6 linked regions of the Oryzias latipes genome follow. The protein of the gene in region 6 binds, or shares a complex with, the protein of the main gene of each other region. Links are inferred from orthologs where the notes say so. Each region holds a gene or a part of one and is shown on either strand. Other genes may lie near its edges.

Region 1 (3,947 bases), on a different chromosome or scaffold from region 6:
CTGTCTATAACAGATAAACAGCAGTTTCTATACTGACGTAAACCGGAAAATGCAGAACGCACTAAATATGTGTTAGCAAAACAATTAAACAATACAATAACGTGAGTTAAACATTTATCAGCCATCACCGTTGTCGTTATTTAATCTTCTCTTCGCCGTTTTGGAAGGTCCTGTCTGACCTCATCCAGGAAACTTGGGTATCAGAATTATTTTAGAGTTTTCCATTGGAAATTACAACAAACGGGGTCGTTTATGTGCAAACTTCACCTGTCTTTCTAACTTTACCGAACTTCGGATCAATTAGTATTTTAAATCGCGAATGCACAGAAATACTGGATAATGTAAAAAATATGGCCCCATCATCCTCCAAACTTACCTTGTGATTGATGCTGAAGTTGTTCATCTTTTTTCAGCTCCTGATGGATAAAGTCTCTTTGGCATGAAGTGCTCTTGTTGTCGCTTTGATCAGCGTGACAAAATGAGCTATTTTTTTTTCTTTTCTCAACTTTATTGAAACAAAATGCGCTCGTAAATGCACACTGTGCCAGGCTCAGATGCAGTGATGTTGGCCAATCGTTGCTGAGAGTGGCGTAACGTCATTATTTGGGTTGCCAGATTGGTTCAGGTTTGTTGACAAGGGGGATCATTAAAGTGCAGCCAACTTTCTTTTGCACAACATTCACAGCTATGAAATAGGTTGCCAGATTTGGGTCTTTTTTTTATTTTATTTTTTCGCCACTTCGGGGCCCTGGTGATGTGGGGGCCCTACGCGGCTGCGTAATTCGCGTATAGGGAGGGCCGGCCATGATCACAGATTAATTGTCAAATTGTAAAAATTGTGAATGGCATTTACACTTTCCTTTCCTTACATTCAGGTGCACTCAAGCATAATCGGCTCTTAACACTGTGTTCACAGCCTAATCATTATTTTTTAAAGGAAACAATTAATTTAATTACTTTTTTAAATAATGTTTTACTTTTTTAATAAAGTTTTTATAAATTTTAAACTACATTTCAGGGAAACAAATTTAATTTATATGTTTTTCTTTGTTGGTAAGTCTGTTTTTACTTATTAGTTTGATTTTTTTTTCTTTCATTCCAGTTACTGTCTGCATTTTCAATAGGAACTATTTGTGACGTGCCAAGGTTTCCTGTCGACCGTAAAAAGTGACGGAACGATTACGCTGCAACAACGCGCACCTCACCGGTACACCAGTAGTAGTGTTTTACTCTCGGAGATGCGGGGCTTTTTCTTTTAAAAAAAACAACAACACTATTTTTGTATTTCATTTTCCTTTTATGCATCTTCACTCGGTCTGAAGTTGGACTAAAACGACCATATGAGCTCGTTTATCGTGCTGGAGATCTAATGATCTAATCAGAGCTAACCATTGAAATCTCTACGACCGGGTTGGTGAGACTCAGCATTCATTGTTATTTTCTTTCACAATAAAACCAGTTTTCGGTGATTGTTTGCTTTCGAACATTTGTTTTTTTCTAACCCGTCTATAAAACTAGTTTTGTAATAAACGTAATCATATTTTTACACATTATGAAAATGGCCGACATGATCATGTTGCACTAAACATTAGTGAAATACCTGCTAAAATGTCCTTTCTTTTTCTGTAAACCCTTAATAGCTCCAGTGAAGTGTTGGCAAATCCAGAAGTTGTTGATAAACAATCATGACATCTCTGGTAAGTTCTGACTTTTTTTTAATGATTATTTTTATTATTATTAACATGTAAAATGTTTTCGTTTCATTTAAGCTATTTTAGCCCGGCAGCTTCCGGTTACAGCAGGAAAGAAAACTTTATTAATCTGCGCTACAGAAGACAATGTTACACGAATTTATCAGTGGAGACTAATTGTAAAGCCTGAGTTGCATGCAGGCAAAAACTCATTCAATCAGAAGGTCGCTGATCTTATAGCAAAACCTTTTTTTAATAGAAATTCCACATTATTTGTTTGTTTGTTTGTTTGTTTACCATCTTCCAGGGGGGCAGCAGTGCTTCGACTACAGAATACACAGTGAGAGTCCCCAAGTGAGTAAATGAAAGCAGTAATGTGTTAGTAATGTTGACCATAACACAGAAATGACACCGTTATCCTTTGAAATAGTAATGTTTTGCATCATTCTGCCCTAAATTTGTCAACGTGTTACTTGACTCCGCCTTGCAAAAACAACTCTTTTTATTTTTTTATTTATTTTCTTGCCCCATAGAAATACAAGCAAGAAGTACAACATCATGGCTTTTAATTCTGGAGACAAAGTCAACTGTTCGGCCTGGACACAGGTGGGCTTCATGTCTTCTTTTTTGCTCCAGTAAAGTAAATCTATATTTTAAATTTGGTTATAATTAAAAACAATAAGATCTCTTAAAACATCCTTAGGAATTCAGAAATTTGTGACAAAATACAAGGGAGTACGGATTAATAAAGCAACTGCGTTTTATGACATATGTGGTACTAATGATGTTTTTTTAAATGTATTTTTTGTATTGAAATGTGGTGCCTCTTGGCCAGGTCTCCCTTGGAAACGAGATTTCTAATCTCGATGGGACTTCCCTTGTTTGATAAAAGTTCTAAAAAAAAAAAAGGTATTAAGTTAAATATCCTGCTTTGTCACTCCCCCAGGCTCGCATGGAACGCGACCTGAGTGCTCGGCGAATATATGGCGAGGAGGAGTTACCAGAGGGAGGGGCAGGGAGCGAGTTTGGCAAAAAGCAGCGCGAGGAAGCGCGGCGGAAGAAGTATGGCATTGTGACCAGAGAGTTCAAGGTGGAGGATCAGCCGTGGATTTTAAAGGTCAACGGAAAAGCAGGAAAAAGGTAAAGCGATAAATGTTTCTATTTTTGAAACTTAAGTACATTTTTTTTTTTTAATTTACCTGCAGGCTTTCTTGAAGTTATGACTTTTTTTTCTTCAAATAAAGAAAATCAATAAACCATATTTATTTAACCGTTGTAGAAAATGAGCAAATACGTCTTCGTACTGAGTAAGATTTGGTGTAATCCTCACCAATTTTTAACAAAATCTGTTGGTGTGTTTTTTATTTTTCCTAAAATGTTTATTGCAGCAAGATTCTCCTATGATTCCAGTTCTACAATCTTCAGTCTGGCTATAATATTTGTCTTTCTGCATCAGGTTCAAAGGTATAAAGAAGGGCGGCGTGACAGAAAATGCATCCTACTACATCTTTACGCAGTGTCCTGATGGAGCCTTCGAGGCTTTCCCCGTTCACGGCTGGTACAACTTCACGCCGGTGGCGAAGCACCGAACTCTGACTGCAGAGGAAGCTGAGGAGGAGTGGGGCAGGTTAGCAGAGCAGCAAGCTGGACTTGGAGAATGCCTTTTGTGTTTTAAAAGTCATTTCCTTCTTTGTCCAGGCGGAACAAGGTGGTGAATCACTTCAGCATCATGCTTCAGAGACGCCTCCGGGAACAGGAGCGGGGCGAGGAGGATGACGATGACGCCGACAAACCCGGAAAGAAGAAAAAGAAAGGGGGCGGGAAGGGTGGAGATTTGCGAATTCATGATCTGGATGAAGACCTGGAGATGAGCAGCGACGACAGCGACAACAGCATGGGAGATGGTAAGGATCCATGCAGCAGGCTCCAGAACTGTCAGGGCGCTCAGCCCCTTCCTCCAAACGTCTGTCAGCTCATTTTCCTCACCTGCAGCTTCCGTCTCTTCTTCGTTTGCAGATGGAGAAAACAAAGCAAAGGCAAAGAAAGACAAAGCCAAAGGGAAAGCAAAGAAAAAGAAACAAAAGAGCAATGAGAAGGATGCCCTGGAAGACAGCGATGATGGAGACTATGAGGGTCTAGAGGTGGATTATATGTCAGATGAAAGCAGGTGGGCTCCTCAGCGTATTTACCACATATACATATTAAAGAAAGAACATGTTTTTATTTGGTCTTTTTAGAAGAACAAGTCTGCATTTT
Region 2 (2,574 bases), on a different chromosome or scaffold from region 6:
ACTGCACATTCAGATAAGTTTATTTTACAATTATCTAAAAAAAAAAACAGATCTGTACAAATACATGTTTTATTCTAAACGGTGCCTTGCATTTCCATTTTATTTTTCCTCATAAATGAGTTATGAATTTGTAAAATGTGTATATTTTGTGTTTTTTTTCTTCAAAGGGAATGTCACTTATGTTTAAGATGATTTTTCTTCAGGTGTTTGTAAAATGTGCTGCTTGTACATGAGGCTGTAAGGAGACTTGTAAATAAAGCAAAGTGTCTATGAAAATGTCTTAAAAACTGAATATTAAAATATTTAAAAATTGTATACCTGGCAGAGGGATACTAACTTAAATAAGTCCTAGTACAGTTTTCCTAGGGTTTAAATATGCATCGTGACCACCACAGCTAGATATATTTTACATTTTTAAAGAATTTCTGGAAATTTTCTCACCCCAATACCCATAAAAATATGGATGCAGGTATAATTACAAACTACATCACTACAAGTAATGATAGTTATATGTAACCCATAATCCAATTTATTGATCTTTTTTAAAGCATGTCAGAAACAAATCCAGTCATTCCATAGCTCAAAAAAACAAAACAAAAAGATTATCCTTAGGAAAGGTCAAAGGTTATTTCTGCGTGATGGGAAAGGAATTCTGGTCCATCAAGTCTCCGACTCTTTCCTGCAGGGTTTGGACCACCTCTGCCAGGATGAAAACGTGGGTGTCATCGAGGTCCTTCAGGATGAACTTCCTTCCTAAAGCCATGGTCTCATCCAGGTAAAGGAGGAACTGTTTCATGGCGGGGTCACTAATTCAATAAAACACATCCCATCAGACACAATTGAGTTCTCAAAATGTTAATTTACAGAACTTGTTAAAAAAATAATGTTTGTTAAAACTTTACTTACCATTCAACGAGAACGCCTTTGTGAACGTTCACCATGTTCACGAAGAAACGGTCCCTTTGTTTAGCGGAGATGTTAACTTAACGCGAGGATTTTTTAACCTGACGCATAAAAACAAGTAAAACAAGAATTCTCTGTCAAAATAGAACGTTTGTTTTTGAAGTCTATACAGATTTTAAAGGTTAAAAAGTCTCATTGTGACGCGCTTTTTTTTAAAGCTAATCATCACAGGTAAACAAGACTCAGATAAAAACAATTATAAAATGCTTTAAAATACACCAAAGCTAAAAAACAACAACACTAAAATAACAAACCTGTCTGTGTTCCGGGAAAGATGTTAGTGGAAGTAAGAGAATTCCTTTTTATAAAAGGTAAATGTATGACAGAATATTAGCACAAATTCTAGGCTCCTAACACGATGCTACATGTCCCTGTATGGTGCGGGTCAAGGGACAATTTTCTGTGCTTCGACAACAACAATGCAACGCATGCGCACTGCTGCTAGCTTCAATCGTGGAGTGTTATTTTATTTTTTATTTGGATTTTGTACTCTTGCAGAAGTTACTTTCATTGACATGGAAACAAACATAATAAATAAATAAGATTACCAAAACATTTCCCAGGATTTAGAAGTTCTTTAAAAAATCTTTTTGGTTTAAAATCAAAGCTAACGATCACGTATACCAGAATAGAGAGCTTCCTTTTTAGTTTTTGATTCCTAACCAAGTTGCTCCGCAAAAAACTTTAAAGGAAATTAAACTGAAGCTATCAAAATGTTATTTTGCAAAATCTTGGCTAAAACTTAACTTATATTGCCCAAAAAACAGCATTGTAGGCTGTAAAAAATAAAAAGCAATATTTCCAGTGTAAAAACCCTAATTTAATATTTAGCAAAAACACAAATGAAACTGAGATTTTTCAGTAATTTATTGACAGCGATGGGAATTTTTAGTGGCAATTGTGCTACGGCAAAATTCAATCACATCATTACTTAAAAAAAATAAATGTTTTTTTAAATAGACAAGGAGGAGTCTATGGTAAGGCTTAGGAAAAGAAATACATTTTGGCACCAATTATGACTGACATTGTGCTTTTTGGGGGATAAAACTCTCAAATATAAAAATAAATGCGGGGAAGAAATTCTTTTCAGAATATTACAGATCATTTACGTAAGTATTACATCTCAGAATAATAATTAAAATATTAACAATCTGTTTCCAACTCTAAACATGACAAAAAACTGTAAAAATATTATTTGCAAAAGTGATCCGATTTACAATTAAGTTATTCATGAGGAGTGAGTTAAAAATAAGTCTCGTTATCAGAGCTGAAAGTTTTCATTTAAGTTAGTCTAAATATTGAGTGATCCCTCACACTTCACATTATTTGTTCATGTTTAACAAAAGACATCCCGGAAGGGGGGCATGTGCATATTTTTTCTCTCCACAGTTCAAGTATGCAGTAGTCTGCATCATTGTCTTTGTGCGGATAAAGAGTCACTGGCTGCTAAAACTCTGCAAGGCCTCCTGGATGAACTGGAGGCTGCGTTTGTACAGAAACGAATCCTTCTTCTCTGGCTTGCAGATGTTGAGGTGATCCACGTTTACCTCGACGAGTTCTCCGATGCCGAGGTCTGAAACGAAACCAGGCTTTCATATCTCCATCTACAGT
Region 3 (4,027 bases), on a different chromosome or scaffold from region 6:
TCCCAGACTGGTTTCATGCTCAAAAGGATGACCTCACACATGGACTGTACCTGCTGTATAATGGGGGCCTGCACGCCGCCAGGCTGCATCTGATTCTGCAGGACGATCTGCTGCTGAGGCTGGATGATGTACTGAGTCCCGTTGGGAGCCCGGACCACCTGCAGGAGCTGACCTGCATCAACAGGAAAACAAAAAAACGTTTTGAGATCCAACCACGCTAAAGTCCAAAGGAACGGTGAGAGCTTTACCTTGGCTTGTGATGAGCTGTTGGTAGGGGGTGACCCCTGTGGGCAAAGCAAGGGTTGCTGCAGTGGCTGCTGCGGTCTGCAGGAGGAAACACAGAAAGCCGCTCCAATTATACCAGAGCACAAAAAGGTGGATTTTCTAGGTGATAAAAAAAGAAAAAATCTTCTTTTTTCTTTTCATTTAAGCCTTAAAGGTTTCAAACATGGTCCATCACTTAAGGAAAAGCTATAGCGGCGGCTAGGTTTCAAGCTCAAAAAGACAGATGGCCTCCCCACAAGAAAGCTTTTCCCTTTCTCGGTTTTGTTCTCCAGGTCCTTGTTGAGAAAAAAAGTCCTCTCCCAAAACCCACAGCCCGGCTAGTTTTCCTAACCGTCGCTTCCTTGATACTATCCCAGATATTCCCCGGGTGGATTTGTGCGATGACAAAACGGGACGTTTGGGAGAATTTTTGGTTCTCAAGTGTGGCGGTGCAGTTTTCAGCTTGTAAGATGCTACTCACCATTCCCGTTGAATTCATGTGCTGTATCATTTTAGAGTCCTGAACTATGACCTGCTGCTGGGGAGCTGTTGAGAATAAAACACATTATTTCAGGTTGAAAAAAAAAAAAAACAACACACGTCCAGGCGACGTTTGTATGTCAACGTGCGGACTCGCCTTGTTGCTGCGAGGGAATCTGGATAACCTGCTGGGCCGGCGCGGCCTGGGCCACCTGCTGGGCCTGTTGGGAGTGCGGGTGCTGCTGCTGAGCGGTCTGCAGGGCCGCCTGCTCCTCGGTGTGGAAGCCCTCCACCGCCTTTGACTGCAGCAGCTTGTTCTCCCACAGCTGAAAGACAAGACTCCAGATGAATCTGACCAAACACGGAGCTGCATGTGTGTGTGTGTGTGTGAGGGGGGGGGGTTATAACCTTCTCTCAGTAAAATGAGACGGATTACCGTTTTCAGCTCCAGAAGAACTTGCTCGTCCACCCCTTCATCCAGGAACAGCTCCCGCACCTCATTGATCACATCCTCAATAACAGACTTGTATAATTTAGGCTATGATGACAAAACAGAGCAAATACACAATTTATTGGTGGTGGTTTCAACATATATAAATGTTTACAATAAATGTAGGAAAACACTCATAAAAGAGGTGTTAAGTTTAAACGGTCACATCTTGTGTATATGGATAGATTATCCAAACCCATATATAATAATCTGCACTGATCCATTTGTCAGCAGGACTAAACGCGTCCCTCGAGACAGAGCTGCACGCGCGGGGAACTGTCACGGACAACATTCTGGCTTCTACGCAGAACGAGAAGCGGGACACCGAATGTCCGTCTCTCTGCTCTCCTCCCCGTCAGCTCCGGCACTATTTAAAGCGCAGTCTGCTGTTTATGTGAAGAACCGGTGACGTAGCGTCGTGTAGCACCGTCCCATCCCGGGCAGTCTATATTAGACGGCCAATATGGCGGTATAAAACCAGGCAGCAGAAAGGAGGAGGGCCAGAACCGAGAGAGGAGACGAGGAAGCCATTTTACAGAGCGGCAAGCGCGCGCGCGCCTCTTTTCCCTCCTCGACTAGCAAGATATGGCGGACTGAAGATGACGGTTTCGGTGGTTTATCTCATGAAAGGATCCGTTTTGACTAAACATTTTTGACTGGAGCGGGACATTTGTTGCGTTGAGGGTGATTTGGGACGGCTCTCCTGCCCTCTGGTCGTGGAATGGAGGACAATGAAGAAGAAGCAGTTGACAGAGCGTTCAAGACGCCAAGCTTTTAATAAAATTTTTTTAGCTAAATTCAGTCGCAGTGGATGGTGCATATGTGCTTTGCGTACATCAGTTTCCCTCCCCTCCAACAGTTATGCGACAATAAGTATGACATTTTCCCCCGTGTAAACAAAAATGAGCACCCCTAACTTAACTAGTTAGCTAACGCATTCAATGCGGATTTCAACTCAATTTAGCTTTAAAAAAATGTCCAGAAGGTTTTCGGAAGCACTTACGTTAACAACTAATACCGTATAAACAGGCAACTTTTAACTTTAAAATTTATTTTTGATCACATTTAATTTAAATATTTAAAGAGATTCGGGTCCTACAAAAGTAATCAGTTCTATAAGCTCTTTTTTCATTGAGTTTCGAAAACTGGTATAAAAAAAATGACCGTGAGTATTCCTTTGAATGGACATAACGGTGTTGGTAAAACTCATTTTTACTGTAATGAATAAAAAAAATAAATTAAAAAAAAAAACAGATCGTTGACACGTTTTTCCATCAACTTTACCCCCATTTTCCCCCGTTGACAGTCCTGAGAGATTGATCCTTACCACTGGGTTCGAGTTTGCCGAGCTCGCCATTATACGCGTAGTGTAAAAACCACACGGAAATAGGCGAGAAACAGTGCCAAAAATTAAGAAAAAAGACTTAAAACAACTGGGAAAGGTACTTTAAAACAGCCGGCATTACTTTTGTAAATAAAACACAGTTTTAACGGTCTTATTTACAATCCCGGGCTGCGACTCCCCAGCCGTCCTCCTTTCGTCGTTGTCCTGCTTTATATACTGAGCGATGGAGCTGCGAGTGCGCGAGACATAGGGCAGGGTCAAAAGGCACATAGCGCGAGATTTGCCACAAAAAACGATGACTAATCACTGACGTCGTGCTGGGAAATGTAGTTTAAATTGTAAATTTCACAATGCGATTGGATACTTAGCTTTTTAGATTTGTTGGACAAATTATCCAATTGTTAACCATGATTACAATTACATTGTTTTTGTTTGTGAGTTTGTATTGTGTTGAGAATGTTTACAAATAGAGGGTTACAAGTTTTAATTGATTTAACTTTTTCAGCTAAATCGAGATTTTTCCTGTATAGTAAATTCTGTGTTGTATTCATTACTTTTATTTTATAACGAAAAGGTTCAAATCTGAATCCAAAAGCCCGATTTATTTCTATGTTCCTTGTAGTATCGTTCTACAGCCACAAGAGGGCGATAAGACAACATCACATGAAAATAACCTGTGTTTCACTGGAGCTTTGAGACGGGCATATTTTTCACATGCAGCGTGCTATATGTGATCTTTAATTAAGAAGATCTGTGCACATTTGAAGAAGTATTTAAGATCATATTCACTTGATCCAAAAATACACAACCAAAGGGAAAATCCTTAAAAAAAAGCTTTGCAATAATTTCGTGTAGACATTGTTAACTCCACTTCAGTCTCCATGGAAACTTGCTTCCCTGGCCACTCTGTGGATATAGATGATATAGACTAGGGAAGACTGTTTGCATCAATCCACAAACAATTCAGTGTTTTCTGAAAACTGTGTTTACTGAAATTATCTAAAGAAGATGTAAAAAAAAGAGAGAGAGGGTGATCTGACCCTGCAGATCACCCTCTCATGCTTCTATAATTACAGGGGAAGCAAAGTTCAACGTGATCAAAAAGCAAGCGAGTGATCCATGCTATGAATGTTTGGGATGTGATCATATATGCAGGCTAGGGCATTGCTGTCTTTGAGCTTCACTCCGGTGTAACATTAGAGAAGCATGATGCCCTCTAAAGATCTGGAGAATGCACACTTTACCCCCCCCCCCCCCCCCACTCCCTACTCCCCCTTCTTTGCTGTAGTTGCATAGCAACAGAGGAGCTGCAAGCTCCAGTTGTGTTGTGATGGGAGCGTGCTGCACAGGGAGCCACTGGCTCAAGATTAAGCCGGTCTCTACTTCAATTATGAATGGGCTTCCACCGCCACACGGCTCCAAAATGGCACCACTCAGACTGATAAGAC
Region 4 (2,251 bases), on a different chromosome or scaffold from region 6:
TTGTGCTATCCTAGGCTCTTTAACGATGGGAGTTGGGTCATCTAGACCCACTAGACAGTGCTCTGAACCTTTTTTCTTCAATGATTTGTGATCTTCACTGGTGTCCATGGATTACATGAAATCTTTCCACCTTTATCCACCTTTGTCGTGGTAGGGAGAACACCTCAATGGAAGGGGGGGGTCATCTAAGATAGCACAAGGGTTAAGGGAAGAAAACCGTTTCCATTCATAGCAGAACCAGAGGGAAAAGATTCACACACACAAAAAAACAAACATTTGTGTTGTTCACAAGCTTTCCATGTGTGGTTTCAGCAGAAATGTTGAGCTGCACATTTTTCCTTTTTGTCAAAAAAACCCCAAGATGTTCAGGAAAAATTCTGATTGGCTGTTCTGGTTTTTTATCGTTTTTGTAGTTTTTCTTACAGCAAAAACTGTAGAAAAATCATCTTTGGGGACTCCTCAGGTTTAACAGAGCAACAGAGAAAAAAAATGAATCAAAGCTTCAGAACAAAAGTTTTATTGACAAAAAACTCGTATTAAAGGGAAATTAGCCGCTGCCATCCACTGCTTTGATTCCCACAAACTGCAAGTTTGGCATTTTAGCAGGAAATTTAAGAACGCAGCATGAAGACAAAATGCAATGGAAAAAAAGGATGTAACTCTGAACATGTTTTCACTTAATACTGAACCCACACTGACTTTTATTCTCAGCATCTAACTGTAAATCACTGCTATAAAACTCTGTGTGGAACTAATTTAGACTTTTTTTTTTAATCCTGTCTTTTGAGCGGCATCGCTGCTGAAGGAGTCTCAACTCTGAAGAAGTCCTTCAGCAGCCAATCCAACTCCTCTTCCTCCTCCCAAAAAGGAGACAGGAAGCTGTAAAGGCTGCAGACAGACTTTGGGTGGATCTGCCACCAGGATGTTTGTGTTGAGGACATCATCTTTCCAAACACTGCAGATGGATAAAATACTGCAGGAGGGACACCTCCCTAACAGATGACAGCTTTCCTCTGCTAAAGTTTAAACACGTGCACGTGTGCACAGGTCCTCCAGCCGCCGCCATCAGATGAACACTGGGTGTGAGCCGGGCTCAGAAATACATGTCCTGGAAAAGGTTCTGTCCCATTTCGATGTAAGCCTCCTTCTCCTGCGCAGACATCTGCTCCACCAGCTCGGGCCTCTGGCTCACCTCCCTGTAGGAGAACGGCCGACCTCCCACCATCACCATGGGCTCGTCCCCCACCTCCTCGAAGTCGTCCTCGTCCTCTTCGTCCTCCTCTGGGCGCCGTGCGGCTGCGATGGGAGGAGGACCTGCGGGGAACTCGTCATCTGATTCACTGGTGTCGCTCTCTGAGTCACTGGCGTTGAGGGCGGAGGACGCGGCAGGTCTGGAGGAGGCGCCGGCTCCGCCCACCCCTGGTCCTGCGCCGGCCCTTTTCTCGTGGATGAGGAGGGCGCGCATCACCTCCTCGTTTTCGTCTGTCTGATCGCGAGCTGCAGCTCCGTCCTGAGCCCCAGGCAGAGCGGCTCCATCTGAGGGGACAAAACGTGAATCCATCCCATAAACGGATCTGCAGAAACCGAGCCAATGCCAATGTTTGCAGGTTTTTATTTGACTAAAGAAATGATCGGTCTACTTCCAGGCTGCGCTGCACTAAAGGAACTTTTCTCTTCCATGTTCTAATTCAGGAAATTTTTCTTTTTTGAAGTTTAAAATGAAACTAAATCTGACATTTTGGACAAAAGATTTAAAAAAAATCAAATCAGGAGAAAAAAGTGAGAAAATTATTTCTGCCTTCCAGAATTTATGATGATTTAGATCCAGACGAACAAAGAAAAAAGCTATTATGGTTTATACTCAGCATACAGATAACTGTATGCTCAAAATAAATAATAACTCAAAATAAATAATAATAATAAAAATTAAAATAAAGACCACTGTGATGAAAATGATGTTTCTAGCGAGTTCTTTAGACATTTTTCTGATGATAGAAGACATGCATAAAGAAAATGACGCATAAAATTGCCTTTTGGGGTTAATCTGCCAAAACTGACTTTGCAGAAACTATGTCCTCCAATAAGACTGTTGGCTAAAAACGGCATAAAAAAGAAAAAAAACTCTTTCCTGTGGTTTTTACCAGAGGAATTCATGACTCCATAGTAAAAGTTACATCTTTATTCAGTTTAAAATGCTTTTTTTTCTACAATGTGTTCACAGCCTGAACCTGAAAAACGGCACTGGGGCAAC
Region 5 (2,911 bases), on a different chromosome or scaffold from region 6:
TTTAATTGTTGGTAACAAAGTGGCATTGTAATTTGCTGAAAACCTTCTGCACATTCACTATAACTCTTCAAGAGTTAAAGTTCCAACCGCCATGACGATGTTTTGTTCTTGCTTCCCCAGATTGGAGGCAGAGGAGCATTGTTGCGTCGAGTTGTATATAAAAGAATCAAGGATTGTTTGTTCAATCTGAGAACACGGTTTTGTTCTTCCTTTATATAATAGGACTTGTTTTAACAAAAATTGGCTGTAGATTTTTTCTTGTAAAATAAGACTTTGTTTGCATGCACCATAACAATTCTTTCTGTAATCATTGTAATTTCACATTTCTTTTGGTAGAAAATCTACAATTAAAAAAAATCCCAAAGTATTCTCGTCTTATGTGCTCTGCTGTTGAATAGTATAACATTATTTGTTTGCATGTTTTCATAAGTACATAAAGTGAAAGGTTGAGCGATTTAACTCAACGCCTCAAAAATTAGATGGCATCTCAACTCAGTGAATCGAATACTTTAAAGAAAAAACTTTATTTAAATAAAATTTTCATTGCCACATATGTGCACAATACACCAAGTCATTATTGTTGACATTTCTTAAACACTGAATATATGCACAGGCCATGTTCAAAGCATGTTCTTCCAGCTAAAATTTTTCCAGCGGTGCATAATTTAACAATTTCTCAATAAGATCCACATGGGAAAGCAGCATCCTCCGACAGCAGTACCTCTTCAGGCCCAGGGCATCAAGAGCATCACTAGAAAAGGGAAGATGGAAAAGTAATTTTAGTGCCAGATATTGCTTGCATAATTACAGAAAAAAAAAAAAAAAACATTTCTATAGTTAGTTTTAAATGTTGTATCCTCAAATGGTCTGAATTCAAACTAACATCTTGACTGACAGTGAAACAGGAGGAGTAGAGGTTGAATGAAGGCCTTTATTTAGTTTCAGAAAACTTGACCATATAGCATTACGGTGACACATTGTTGAACGAACGAAACATGAAGGTAAAATGAAAATGAAGCGCATCTGTCTCACCCTTCAGTGTATTCGGCCTGAAGAAGACCAAGGTAGGCTTCCCATTTGTTCCCCACGATCTTCCCACAAGTGAAACACCTCACCGGGATAATCATTTCTGGATGCTTGAAGAAGGAGCCAAACTAAGATATTCAATCCACAATAAATAATATAATCAACAATCAAATCAATAATAAAAAAAAATTAAATAAACAAAAACATGCCAATATGAATATGGTCATATCTGAGAAAGGGTAATTATGTTACACATGTTCCTACAACATAATTCCGCTTATGATGCTAGCAAATACTTCTAAAGGAAGGTACCAACACGTTGTTTAGGAACGTCGTAACTAAAATGAACGCAAATATCTTGCGCTACAATTTCTGTAAACGATATAATATAATTAAGTAACTTGTGTTTAAATTACTGAGATTTAAAAAACAAAAAGAAAGGCCAACGCTAGCCGCGTACATGCAGCTAGCCTAGCAGCACGCCGTCGTTCACATGCTTCCCAAACTCGGGTACAAATGAAATAAAAATATTAGTAACATTACGTTAAAAAAGGAAGTTGTTAACTCACCTTTATTGGTCAAGTTTGTCCAACACTTAAACAGCGTTATTTGTAATAATAGTAGAGACAAAGTTTAACCGTTGACGATATAAACATCACAGCTCAAATAACCATTTCCGGTGTAATACAGAGCTTCCGGATGTGATCCTACAAAATAAAACTAATTTAAATAAACCACTAAATTTAGGTAAACAATGCTGTTGAGTTTAACTGCTGTGTGTTCATTTTCTGTATGTAAAACACAACTTTAGGATTTAACAAAAAAATTATTTTATCGCGTAAAAGTATTTGTTACAAAAACTGACGCGTACGATTTGCATTTTTACTATATATATATATATATATATATATATATATATATATATATATATATATATATATATATATATATATATATATTTTTTTTTTTTTAAAGAAGGTAGCACATTGTCTAAATACAACCTGCATCGGCCCTCAAATATTGAGAAATCTGTTCCTCAAACCAAAATAAAATCACATCTCTCTGGGTGGGTCTGTAATAATACCAGTTAATCCCAGACGACATATGTGTCCAATGATTAAATGCTTTAATTTAAATCACCTACACATTCATGTTCTATGATAAGGAAACAACTACATTTATATGGTATATGTATTCACCAACATTTGTCTATATGCAAATATTACTTTTTGTTATTTGAGGATTTCTCTGCAATAATTTAGAAAACATTCTAATGTTGCCACAGTCATGTGAGTAAAATAAAATAAAAAATCCTTATTTGGGAATTGGCATAAAATGCAAATCCCAAAAAAATCCTCTTTTTCTAATCTTGACTGTAGATCTACAGCTTTCATTTTCAAGTTTAAATATTTTCATTTGGATAGCTTATTAGCCAATACTTTCTGTGAAACTGTTGCTGTTTATTAACTAATCTTTAACTGTCTTTCCTTATTTTCATTTGCAGAAAAAAAAAGTTGTGAACATAAATCAAATGTAAATCTGATCTAAGCCTTAGTCTCATCTAGATTTCTCAACATACCAGTATTCAAAAGTACCGGTACCCAATTCCTTTTTTATATTTGTTGGCAGTCCATGTTAAAACTCTCTTGAACTTACAAGATTCATTCATTCATTCATTTTCTTAACCGTTTTTCCCTTTCGGGGTCACGGGGCTGCCGGAGCCTATCTCGACCACTTGTGGACAGGTCGCCAGTCTGTCACAGGGTAGAACTTACAAGATCATAAATTTAACTGAAACTCACATTTCTACTAATATAATTGCTTTGATAATTCTTGTGCATTTAAAAAAATAATTCAGACTGGTTCACTTCTTTTATTGAGGCTG
Region 6 (4,217 bases):
CTCCCCGAGGCCATCCCCATGTCCCACGTTTCCCTGCAGGTACAGGAAGTCTACCCCTTCCACGACGGTTGGAACGTCGCCTGCTTCGTCATCCTCCTGCTCTTCATCCTCACCGTTCTGTCCCTGGCCGCTCTGGCCGTTCTCTACGAGTTACTGGACTGCGGCTGCTGCGCCAAAGGGAAAACGCGCCACCAGTTGCAGCAAGAAAGGTCGGGAAGCTGCAGCAATCTCATGACGAGAACATGCAAGGAGCTGGAGAGCCACACGGAGGTGGTATAGCAGCAGCACAGACAAAGGAAAATGGAAGAGTTTGGGGTTGGGATGCCCAATTTATTGCCAAAACAAGCACCCCTGATACCATAGACTGTCTATTTGCATGCATCCAATTCAGAGGCAAAGAAAAAAATGAATCAATGTTCCAGAGTATTCTGTACACAGAAACGTTTGCCGAGTTAGGGCTTTAAAGACTCATGTCATCTTTGTTTAGTTTTGTGTTTTTTTGCCGTTCTTCTATGGTAAACACACAGTCGTGAATTTGTAGACACAATAAAGGTTTTCGTTTGGCTTCCCACAAACCCGATAAAAGTTGATGGAAATCTTTTCTTTTGGGTTAAAAACATTGTGGTATGATAAAAAAGAATTGTTATAAATAAACATGATTCATTTAAATGGATGTTAAGGCGAGCCGAAAGTTGTAATTGTTTGTAGTGGATGTATAGAAATCAGCTGCCACTCTCATGTTACCAGGTGGAAAATCTGACATTTCTGAAACTTTTTTAACAGATGAAGACGTTTATTTTCCAAAAGCAACTAAATGAAGTGATAAAATCTAGCGTTGGACGGCTGTTGGTCAATGTGGTATGTTGGCATTTTCATGAAGACAAACATAAAAAGACTAAAGAAAATCAATAAAAATGAGATCTAACAAAAAGTTTGGTTAAAGAGTTTGAATTTTCTTTCTCTATATTTCATGATTCTTATGAATCAGTCCTTTCATCCAAAGAATTCTTTTAGGCTTTATTTATATTTACTATAAAAATGTTAGAAGTCATTTTTTGATCTGTGCACACCTTTAAAAAAAAGCAATGACAGCAGAATTTTGACCACTTTGCTTTTCGTAATTATTCAAATATTTGACTCAGAATAACCTATGAGTGACAGATGAATGAGTTTTGATTGCCTAGGTGTTACATCATCCATCCATTAAAAAACAACAACATTTAAACCAAACAAAAGAAAGAAAACATAATCCTTAAAAATAATCTGCCAGTTTCACTCAAAGACCCCCTCCGATCATATTTTGATCTATTGTGAAAGCGTTTCCATTGGTCTTTTACTTAGGAGAAGGTCATTTTTAGCTAAAAATTAAAAAAATCTGGGTCGTTTTTCTAGGACATAGTTTCTGCAGGGTGGCAGTAGTTCATTGGAATTTCACCTGAGTTGCGAGTGGGACCAGCGGCGCTGTAAGGAGCAACCCTACCCCCCCTTCCAGTCATCCATTACTGAGCTCTCTGCATATCCTCTCTCATAAGCTTACAGCCTCTCACACACCCAACCCAACATTGGTGAGCAAACTTAAGGTTTACGCCAGATGGCAGCCCAGGCGAGGAAAACAAAGACGTACATGGATCCATTTGTCTGCAAGTGGGTTTATCAGAATGGAGCGGAGCAGCTTGTGGCACGTCCAGGAGAAGCTCAGTAACCAGATATAAAGCATGACCTACCAGTGCTGTGTTTGGAGCCAGAGGAGCCTTCCTTGTCTAACTTGGGCTTCTTCTTCTTGTGGGATCCAGAGTCTGATGCAGCTGGTCTCTTCTCAACAGCCGGCGTGGAGAGAGCTCTTTTCTTAAACAGCTCCCTCTCGCGAAGCAGAGCTGGATCCATCCAGGCTGGTGGACAAAAGCATGTAAACACAGAAAAGGCTGGATAAAATGCAGTTTTACTAAGCTTCAAACGTTTAAATTAAATATAATTTATGAAATAAATATAATACTGAAACAGTGAGGTGCATCATCTCCATGCATATCTATTATACCTGGTATGTTTACCTGGTTCTTTTCTCAATCTAATCAGTGATGCAGCTGTTTTACTATTTTTTCTTCAAATATTAAGTAGAGCATAAGGATTATTATTAGTAACTAGATTTGATGTTAAAACATTGTCTTGACACGACAGGATTCTGTTCTTCAAAACTACGGTGTTCCATTTGTGCCAAAAATAATTGTGTTCGGTTCTTCTACTGACAATATGGGCCAAAGACATGGAATTACTACATTAACAGTGACCAAAGAAATACACTTAATACAGAAACAGTGGACTAAAAACTCAACTCAAAACATATTTAAACATATATATAACAGAAGTTCGCTGTTTGTCCGATTAGCTTCTTCTTCAGTTTATCGGGAAAAAAAAAACTTCATATAAGCAGCTAAAAGTCATCGAGATGAACCTTTAGAGTCCAGTTTCCCCAAAGAACCGAATCCCGTGACAGCATGACCCACATAACCGCTAATTAATGTTCCCGCATTGTCTAACACCTAATGTGATGCTAATCCTAGTGTTAGCATGTCAACGTTACCTGCTACTGTTGAGTTCTTCTTTCCAGAAAGTGGCGAATAAGTCCCGATAGACTAATTTATAAACTAAAAAGTGAAATAGAAAGACAATTTTAAGCTTAAGTAAACTCAAGCTTACTTTCTAATAAAAAAGTATTATTTTTGTATCCATCATGTAACTGTTTCGTTTAGTGTTCGAGTTGTCGGTTATCGTTATCGTATGTTATTCCTTGGGTGACGTCTTCCGCGTGCAAGCAAAAACCCGCAGCTGTGTAGCTCAACATCGCCACCTACTGGACTGGAGGACAGTCAACTTATTTCAGGCAAGAGAGCTATTTTGGTTAGGGATTCTGAAACTATAGCTAAAATAATGAGTGTTCTGTTTCACAGTTTTTAATTCTTGCCGGAACGTTTAAAAACAATTAAATAGTTTCAGCAAATGTTTCTCCCCCAACATTTTCAGTTTTTAAACTGAAAATTATTGGATATTATTATAACCAACAGTTTGTAATAAGACATTAAAAGTATTATTTCCAACACCTGACTGTAATATGTTCTGTTTTGCATTGTGGTGTGATTGCCATTTCGATTATAAACATAATCTTTACAAGTTTTCTTTGCCAAATTTTGTGCTTTGACCAATAAAGTTTAATCTCATTTCTTGTTAAAAGATGAAACACTTAAGTGAAATGTTAATAAAGTTCCAGGATTTATTTTTGAATAATATTTTTAATTTAAAGCCTTTTTTTTTCTTTTTACTGTAGAGGAGCCTACAGCACGTAGTTACAAAATACATTACGATAGCATACCTTTTGCAGTTCTAAAGGGGTGTAAAGCATTACTATGACATTAAAGTCATTACATACTTAGTAATGAGACGAGAACACATGAACAAAAAAACTCTGCTAAAAATATCTTTATAAACTCATGGTTCATCACTTTTAGCTTAGAAACAATAATTTAACTTTTGATTTCTTGAACAAATGTGTTTATCTTTTTTTTTTTTTTTTTCTTGAAGAAAAAAATGTATCTGATCAGTTATTTTTGACAAAGTGTGGTGATTGGAATCATTATTTAATAGACAGCTCCACTTTTCCTGAGGTAAACAGACCCCTACGGTTCTCCTGTCACTCTGTTATCCATTTAGGTAGATGACTCATAGTTTTATTTTAACAACAAAAAGCTGTGATTCTGCTTCCTGTACTTTCACTTAATGATTATTAAAGCTTATCGCCATTTGTCTTAGAGTGAAATGCTTGACAGTACCTTGTCACTTCCTCTACTTCTGTAGGTCTTACAAAGAACGCTATAAGTAATAATTGATTACGAGTCATAACTTTATAAGTAATAAAGTTATGTAACGCAGTGTAACTCTGACACAGTGACAGTTTGGAGGTAACAAACCCCAAACTGTAAACAGAAATAATACTAAAAATAATTTTACTTTCCCTTTATTATTACTTTATAAGTAATAAAGTCATGTAATGCAGTGTAACTCTGACACAGTGACAGTTTGGAGGTAACAAACCCCAAACTGTAAACAGAAATAATACTAAAAATAATTTTACTTTCCCTTTTTTTTCTCTGACTAGTAATCAATTTTATTAGCGAATAATGAGGGCATATACAAGGAATTTGGCTTCAGTGTCTTATTCTCTCATT

Evidence for each region.
Region 1: gtf2e2 (region 6) and gtf2f1 share a complex: the UniProt entries of both Homo sapiens proteins name them as parts of the TBP-based Pol II pre-initiation complex. The link is inferred for Oryzias latipes from reciprocal best matches to the Homo sapiens genes GTF2E2 and GTF2F1.
Region 2: gtf2e2 (region 6) and gtf2h5 share a complex: the UniProt entries of both Homo sapiens proteins name them as parts of the TBP-based Pol II pre-initiation complex. The link is inferred for Oryzias latipes from reciprocal best matches to the Homo sapiens genes GTF2E2 and GTF2H5.
Region 3: gtf2e2 (region 6) and gtf2a1 share a complex: the UniProt entries of both Homo sapiens proteins name them as parts of the TBP-based Pol II pre-initiation complex. The link is inferred for Oryzias latipes from reciprocal best matches to the Homo sapiens genes GTF2E2 and GTF2A1.
Region 4: the proteins of gtf2e2 (region 6) and gtf2e1 are in contact, whole or in part, in a crystal structure (PDB 5GPY), measured with the Homo sapiens proteins. The link is inferred for Oryzias latipes from reciprocal best matches to the Homo sapiens genes GTF2E2 and GTF2E1. Residues at the interface, in NP_002086.1 of Homo sapiens: Asp159, Gln160, Arg161, Gly162, Leu163, Gly164, Gly165, Leu167, Leu190, Val192, Asn193, Arg194, Pro195, Ile200, Phe202, Cys208, Gln209, Phe210, Ser211, Val212, Asp213, Glu215, Phe216, Gln217, Leu219, Trp220, Arg221, Val223, Thr224, Val225; in NP_005504.2 of Homo sapiens: Arg16, Lys19, Tyr20, Val21, Arg23, Gly24, Phe25, Tyr26, Ile28, Glu29, Leu32, Arg39, Leu51, Leu52, Lys53, Phe54, Asp55, Gln58, Gly68, Asp69, Lys70, Phe71, Lys73, Thr98, Asn101, Val102, Val103, Lys104, Tyr105, Lys106.
Region 5: gtf2e2 (region 6) and polr2l share a complex: the UniProt entries of both Homo sapiens proteins name them as parts of the TBP-based Pol II pre-initiation complex. The link is inferred for Oryzias latipes from reciprocal best matches to the Homo sapiens genes GTF2E2 and POLR2L.

What each region holds. Positions count from the first base shown.
Region 1 is NC_019866.2:14,106,534-14,110,480, forward strand, and holds the start of gtf2f1 (general transcription factor IIF subunit 1), read left to right. Parts: upstream 1-1,147; 5' UTR 1,148-1,414; intron 1,415-1,640; 5' UTR 1,641-1,685; coding exon 1,686-1,697; intron 1,698-1,998; coding exon 1,999-2,045; intron 2,046-2,224; coding exon 2,225-2,297; intron 2,298-2,637; coding exon 2,638-2,831; intron 2,832-3,147; coding exon 3,148-3,318; intron 3,319-3,389; coding exon 3,390-3,595; intron 3,596-3,707; coding exon 3,708-3,858; intron 3,859-3,947. UniProt on the Homo sapiens protein: TFIIF is a general transcription initiation factor that binds to RNA polymerase II and helps to recruit it to the initiation complex in collaboration with TFIIB. It promotes transcription elongation.
Region 2 is NC_019882.2:9,073,468-9,076,041, reverse strand, and holds gtf2h5 (general transcription factor IIH subunit 5), read right to left. Parts: upstream 1,359-2,574; 5' UTR 1,218-1,358; intron 1,005-1,217; 5' UTR 942-1,004; coding exon 907-941; intron 807-906; coding exon 626-806; 3' UTR 501-625; downstream 1-500. Other genes in the region: protein SERAC1, read right to left, coding at 2,400-2,536. UniProt on the Homo sapiens protein: Component of the general transcription and DNA repair factor IIH (TFIIH) core complex, which is involved in general and transcription-coupled nucleotide excision repair (NER) of damaged DNA and, when complexed to CAK, in RNA transcription by RNA polymerase II.
Region 3 is NC_019882.2:4,171,033-4,175,059, forward strand, and holds the start of gtf2a1 (transcription initiation factor IIA subunit 1), read right to left. Parts: upstream 2,801-4,027; 5' UTR 2,592-2,800; coding exon 2,562-2,591; exon of another isoform or gene 2,525-2,561; coding exon of another isoform or gene 2,519-2,524; intron 1,283-2,518; coding exon 1,181-1,282; intron 1,071-1,180; coding exon 902-1,070; intron 811-901; coding exon 746-810; intron 325-745; coding exon 249-324; intron 173-248; coding exon 51-172; intron 1-50. UniProt on the Homo sapiens protein: TFIIA is a component of the transcription machinery of RNA polymerase II and plays an important role in transcriptional activation. TFIIA in a complex with TBP mediates transcriptional activity.
Region 4 is NC_019879.2:29,665,061-29,667,311, forward strand, and holds the end of gtf2e1 (general transcription factor IIE subunit 1), read right to left. Parts: intron 1,537-2,251; coding exon 1,094-1,536; 3' UTR 501-1,093; downstream 1-500.
Region 5 is NC_019861.2:18,860,753-18,863,663, forward strand, and holds polr2l (DNA-directed RNA polymerases I, II, and III subunit RPABC5), read right to left. Parts: upstream 1,728-2,911; 5' UTR 1,596-1,727; intron 1,155-1,595; exon of another isoform or gene 1,137-1,154; 5' UTR 1,128-1,136; coding exon 1,033-1,127; intron 752-1,032; coding exon 640-751; 3' UTR 501-639; downstream 1-500. UniProt on the Homo sapiens protein: DNA-dependent RNA polymerase catalyzes the transcription of DNA into RNA using the four ribonucleoside triphosphates as substrates.
Region 6 is NC_019859.2:11,936,997-11,941,213, reverse strand, and holds the start of gtf2e2 (transcription initiation factor IIE subunit beta), read right to left. Parts: upstream 2,801-4,217; 5' UTR 2,579-2,800; intron 1,890-2,578; 5' UTR 1,885-1,889; coding exon 1,725-1,884; intron 931-1,724; exon of another isoform or gene 280-930; coding exon of another isoform or gene 1-279. Other genes in the region: smim18 (small integral membrane protein 18), read left to right, coding at 1-279. UniProt on the Homo sapiens protein: Recruits TFIIH to the initiation complex and stimulates the RNA polymerase II C-terminal domain kinase and DNA-dependent ATPase activities of TFIIH. Both TFIIH and TFIIE are required for promoter clearance by RNA polymerase.